Linked DNA regions of Saccharomyces cerevisiae S288C. The protein of the gene in region 1 purifies or fractionates together with the protein of each later gene. This does not show direct contact. Each region holds a gene or a part of one and is shown on either strand. Other genes may lie near its edges.

Evidence for each region.
Region 2: the proteins of RTN1 (region 1) and YET3 purify together in Saccharomyces cerevisiae (affinity purification with mass spectrometry, with the first as the bait; one study listed by BioGRID). This does not show direct contact.

What each region holds. Positions count from the first base shown.
Region 1 is NC_001136.10:928,636-931,866, reverse strand, and holds RTN1 (Rtn1p), read left to right. Parts: upstream 1-1,509; coding exon 1,510-2,397; downstream 2,398-3,231. Other genes in the region: homoaconitate hydratase LYS4, read right to left, coding at 1-738; HEM1 (5-aminolevulinate synthase), read right to left, coding at 2,769-3,231.
Region 2 is NC_001136.10:329,002-332,286, reverse strand, and holds YET3 (Yet3p), read left to right. Parts: upstream 1-1,839; coding exon 1,840-2,451; downstream 2,452-3,285. Other genes in the region: BDF2 (Bdf2p), read right to left, coding at 1-1,263; AHK1 (Ahk1p), read right to left, coding at 2,720-3,285. UniProt on the Saccharomyces cerevisiae protein: May play a role in anterograde transport of membrane proteins from the endoplasmic reticulum to the Golgi. May be involved in invertase secretion.

The DNA.
Region 1 (3,231 bases):
CAAACCAGAAAGAGCCCCCCACTCGGTGGTCATGTTAGCAATAGTGAGTCTGTGATCGATAGGCAATGCATTCAAAGAGTCACCCGTGAATTCAATGGCGTGATTTAGAACTTGATCATTGTTGAAAAGCCCACATAATGCGACAATGATATCTTTTCCGGAAACACCCTGAGGCAATTGACCTTTCAACTCAACCTGAGCCACTGGTGGGATCTGCCACCACGTCTGTCCCGTGGCCCATATGGCTGCAGCGTCTGTTCTCACTATTGGAGTGCCCAGCGACCCCAGACCACCGTAGGTGTTTGAATGCGAGTCAGATGCGACAGTCATGTTCAAGGGGAAAGCATAGCCCTCCTCAATCATAATTTGATGACCAATACCTCTACCGGCAGGGTAGTGGTCTATATGGTGTTTCTTAGCAAAATTTTCGATGTTCTTGTACTTGGTCAAATTTTTCTCTGATTTGTTCTGAATATCGTGGTCCAGAGTGGTCACAATCTGTGAAGGATTCTTGATCTTGGTAGCGCCAAGCCCCATGAATTTCAAAGCTACAGGCCACGAATTATCGTGGGACATACAGTGTGCCGGCTTGATCGATACATAGTCACCAGAATGCACAACTTTACCCTCGGGAAGGTTGACCGCATACGACTGAACAATTTTTTCAGTTAGGTTCTGACCTTTCAACCAGGCCCTAGAACTGTGGAACGAACGAGTAAATGTGGTTGATCGTAGCATCTTGAAGCGATACAATTTTGTTTCCTTGCAAGTTCTATTTTATTGAAAAAGTGATATTGTCTACTATAAGAGGCAGCGCAAAACTAGCTATTGCACACACAAACACACGAGGATTCTTTTGTATATATAAATACCTATGGGGATATATATATATATATATATATGTGCGTGTCTGTACGTGTGTGTGGACATGAGATTGTGTATACCTGTGTATGTTGGTGATATTTGCTGCCTCTGGTATAGACTCATCGATTACAAAATTTCAGTCATCTCGAGCAAAATCCCGGGGGAAAAAACAATAAAAATTTTTTTTTTCCAAATCGCTCCATTCTGCTCACTTGACACGAAATTGTTTATCACTTGATACGTGTACATTTTACCGGGTTTGCGGTAATTTCGCACGAACAAGCAGTGAAAAAAGTCATAGGAAAATTTTTCACCGTAGCAGCCAACGCAGTTGCGTTTTTTCCAGTTTTTCCAACACCAGAGGACAGCTTTGGCTATTCTTTTCGGTGTTTGGTGCTGTTGTATCGCTGGCTTGTGGTATCTTCTGTTTCCTATTTAAAGTTGGTCAGTGCCCCCTTTCCAGTGGGCTTCTCCCCTGTGTGGGCTGTTTCTCTTCTATGGCACTTCAACTTCGCATTTTTCAAATTTTTATTCAACAATTCCCTTTTCTTGATCTCTTTCTTTTCAACTCTCAAGCCAAATATTTAATTGTTTCTTCCTACCCGCAAGCGTATATATATATAATATATATTCACACACGCAAATATGTCCGCCTCAGCTCAACATAGCCAAGCCCAACAACAACAACAACAAAAAAGCTGTAATTGCGATTTGCTATTATGGAGGAACCCTGTTCAAACCGGTAAATATTTCGGTGGGTCTCTGTTAGCCTTGTTAATTTTGAAAAAAGTTAACTTGATCACTTTCTTTTTGAAGGTTGCCTACACTATCTTATTCACAACAGGATCTATTGAATTCGTATCCAAGCTCTTTTTGGGACAAGGTTTAATCACCAAGTATGGTCCTAAAGAATGTCCAAATATCGCCGGCTTTATTAAGCCTCATATCGATGAAGCTTTGAAACAGCTACCAGTCTTCCAAGCCCACATAAGAAAGACTGTATTCGCTCAAGTCCCTAAGCACACTTTCAAGACCGCTGTTGCCTTATTTCTACTACACAAATTCTTCTCCTGGTTCTCTATCTGGACCATCGTCTTTGTTGCTGACATTTTTACCTTCACTTTGCCAGTTATCTACCATTCCTACAAGCATGAAATTGATGCTACTGTCGCTCAAGGTGTAGAAATTTCTAAGCAAAAGACCCAAGAGTTTTCTCAAATGGCTTGCGAAAAGACAAAACCATACTTGGACAAGGTTGAATCTAAATTGGGCCCAATTTCCAACTTGGTCAAATCTAAGACTGCTCCTGTGTCTTCTACTGCCGGTCCTCAAACCGCCAGCACTTCTAAGTTGGCCGCTGATGTTCCATTGGAACCAGAGTCTAAGGCTTACACATCTTCAGCTCAAGTTATGCCAGAAGTTCCACAACACGAACCTTCCACTACCCAAGAATTTAACGTCGATGAATTGTCTAATGAATTGAAGAAAAGTACAAAAAACTTGCAAAATGAATTGGAAAAAAACAACGCTTGAGTGCTTTTTTTTTTTCATTTCAAACAAGAATAGCTAACTTTTGTCTCTTTATTTACCACTACATATTACATTAGCCTATATATACTCATACGTTTCTCTCTCTTTACTTTCTGTACCCCCGAGGAAAAATACATAAATTATTTTTGAACTTTCCCTGCTTTTTTACCAACATTGCTACAGTTTAACCATTGCAGTTAAAAGTGCTCATCGTGTTAGTTAAATAAATAAATAATTAAGAGAAATAATAATAAAGTATCATACATAAATAAGAATAAAAAAAAAAAATGAAAAAAAAAAACTGTTAATTTTTTTTTTTACTGATTTACAAATTCCTTGTACCTCTATCTCAGCCCATGCATATATTGGTTGTTTTACTGCTTGATACCACTAGAAACCTCTAGTTGTTTAACGATGGGGTCTCTAACATTAGGGTTCAAGTCGTCATTAGTTAAAGATAGTTGGCTTGATGTCCATAAGTTAGACTCTTCCACAAATCCGCTCTCTCCAACACCCAATAAGCCACCTTGGCTTTCCCAGTCTCTGACACGTGGTAACTGTAGCTCATTGAACACATCATCAACTGCATTGATTAAGATGTCAGATAAATCGTTGGTGTGACCTGGCGTTGGGGTAATTCTCAATCTTTCGGTACCGCGAGCAACCGTAGGGAAGTTGATAGCTTGTACGTAGATTTGATGCTTATTGATTAAGATGTCAGAAGCTTGCTTAGCCAAATCAGCATTACCAATCAACACTGGGACGATATGAGAAGGATTTGGAATAACTGGAATGCCCAACTCATGGAAAGCTTTCTTTACGTACATGGTATGTTTC
Region 2 (3,285 bases), 600 kb from region 1:
AAAATTGAAAAGCTCTTTTAGTTTTTTGCCCATTGAATGGACTTCATTGCCTTCTGGATTGAATTGGAAACAATTATAAAAGACAAGGTTGAGGTCGTCGACAAATTGATCAATTGTTTTGTACTTCCAGTTCATTAAATTATTTGATATTGTACCCAAATCCATAGGATTCTTCACGACATCAAAGTAATTTGGTAGATTCAAAGCAATCGGATCAACAGGTTGTAAAAAGGGAAAATTTATATCCGAATTTTTTTTACTCATCAAAACCTTTAGTATTTTCAGACAAGTCCTGAATTTTTTTTGTAAAGTCTTTGATTTTGGTTTGGAGTTTTCATATATATCAAACAAATCTTTTGATTTGGGTGGATGAATTGTTCTTTTGGGTCTACCACCACTGACGCCTTCTCTATTTCCGCTTTCCCCAATATTGTCATTGGTGGTACTAACTGAACGTCTAATGACAAGTGGGGAATCCATATCCTCATTTTTTTTCCGGTTTCTGCTTGTTTTCTTCAAGGCAGAAGCGGGTAAAACTCTTGGTGGCATTGCAGATAACTTTTTTTCAAAATACTTTTGAATCCTTTTAGCCATCGAAGAGATTGAAGATTCTGGACCATTAAAGTTTAAACAATTATCCACCATTGTTTTGAAGTCCGATGTGACTTGCTCTACTGAATGATACACGTTGCCCTGCAATTTTGTTTCAATTAAAGACAAATCCATTGGGGTTTGAACGTAGTTGAAATAATGCGGGATGTTCAAAGCAATAGGATCAACCGGCTTCAGAAACGGTCTAGCATCTTTTAATCGTTTGGTCGCCTTAATGGAGCTTAAAAGGTATTTACTTTGGTGTGGTGGTAGTTCCTCCGCTTCCATTTCAGCTTCCAACGCCGGCTCTGTTTCCCGTTCTAGGCCCAAAGGGTGCTCGGGAAAACTTTCCGGAGTGGATGCATTACTAATGGAAATGGGAGACAAAGTTTGGTGGGCGTGGGATGAAGAATTCAGGTTAGTGATACCGCTGCTCGCAAGTTTGTAATTTTCCTCGTGTCCATAGTGGAAGATATCCCTGAAGTGGGGTCCATCGTCGATACTTACCGCGCTGACATTACCGCTATCGTCACCGACGCCGACATTGATATTGTTTTTGTTACTACTACTCTCGCTGCTGCTGTTGCTGCTCCTGCTATTTGCAGTAGCACTCTGTGGTGCTGCCAGTAAAGCAGAATGTGCGTGTCTTGTATCCATGTTAGTACGAGACATAGCCGCCGAGGTTTATTTCGCTCAATCTGTTTGTTTCAGTTTTTCCGCGTTCTCTCTTTTTCGCTCTTTTCTGGCTACCGCGCCCGCCTTATATATAAAATCTCTTCCGAATAACAAAGTGGCCGAAACAAGCGCCAACGTCGACCATTTTGCCACCGTGTCACTGTGCACGAGCAACGAAAAACTGGCGTTGGTTGCGCCTCACGAATTGCTTGAGCCTCTTCCCAATATCATCGCGCATTTATTTGAGTCATTCTCTGCCGCTTTATTATTAAAAGTCTGTGTGCTATCAAAATGCTCTTGCTCCTGTTCACCCTCTATGCGTAAACACTTGCGCGTTTCTCCCTTTCTCTTTTAGCGTTGTTGACGTTGCACTCTTTTTTCGCCTCTTTCTTTTTTTAGCTAGAGGGTCACCCTGCCTGCTTCACTCCATTAAGGGGAAGAAGAGTGGAAAAGTGCCGTATATAACAATGGTATATAGCAAATCCCGATTTAGTAGGAAGATAGAATAGTGAGCTCTTCCAAGGTAACCACGTCACATTATACTCATAACCATAGAATTCACAGAATTGAATCATGTCATTATATTACACCTTGGTTTTTGCCATTCTAGTGGTGGAGATTTTCATGTTCTCCATTCTAGCCCTACCAATCCCTTCTAGATACCGTAGGCCTCTCACCTTACTGTTATTAAAGCCGTTCAAATCCTCCACAGTGCAAGTTGCGATCAAGTGTGTACTTGGGTTCATTCTTTTGCTTTTCATCGATTGTATCAACAGAGTGTACAGCATCGACAAAGAGCTGCAGTTAAGTAGCGCCTCTCAAAATAATGGCGCTATAATCGCTCAAGATAGAATTGAGGTTCTTTCTAGGAAATTCTTTGCCCAAAGGAATATGTATTTGACAGGTATAACTTTGTTTTTGACCTTTGTCGTCGTTAGGACTTTTGGGCTAGTCATAGAACTTTTAACCATGAAAGACATATACAGAGCATCGCCTCCAGTAGCCTCCAGCGATGTCAAGAAGAACGACTCTGTTACTGCCGAAGCTGCTGCTCAATCCGGCGCTTCCAAGGATGACCACGGCGATGAGAAAAATTTTGAACTATTGAAGAAAATTCAGGACATCGATGACGAAATTGCACGTTTAAAGGAGAAGTCGGAATCGTTGCAAGAAGAAATAAATTAGTTTGACGTTTTATTCCTTTTCTTCTGCACAGAAGTGTGTATATATATATTTATATATAGTCGATGTGCAAAAGCCTACATTATTTTTCTTTTGATTTTTATTTTTTTGTTCAAGTAGGTTCATGCCGACAGTAAATCCTTATGCCCTACCTAAATATAAACACCCAAATATATATATATATATATATATATATAAATAATAAAAACGGAAAGGAAATAGAATAATAATAATAATACTACACGTTTACGTATGTAACTCATTCTATTATTCAGACTTTGATATTAATAGAATTATTACTACTAGGTTTCCTCACTTCAAAATCTATAAATATACCGTCATGCTCTAATCGATTGGAAAACTCAAAATATTCTCTTACTGTAGCATTGAACGTCTCAATTAAAACACAGATTTTTTGTATCCTTGTTCTCAACTTCATATCTTGGATCTGCTTCCAAATTGTCACCTCCCGCCCCCCAGTAACTTTCAAATCTTCCACATTCTGATTACCAATTTTGGCTACATCTTGCTCATCTTCCATACATTTGCCAAAAATATTAAAATCAGGCACCGGTATCTCAAAATCTAGACCATTACCGCATAAGGTAGCTAAGTTTCTCGTCTCACTTTCGTTCTTAGCAACACTCGCAACCAAATCTTTCGGGACGGGTAAAGGCTTCATGTACTTACTGCCTCCGTGGATTGTCCCCCATTTCATGTTCGCCAAATCTATTTTTTCGACGACTCTTCTATTGGTTTGAATAAATACCAGTTTGAATATTGTAGCAATACTATTGTGTTCCTTGATTTCATTAGAAAATCTCAACTCTGGTGGAC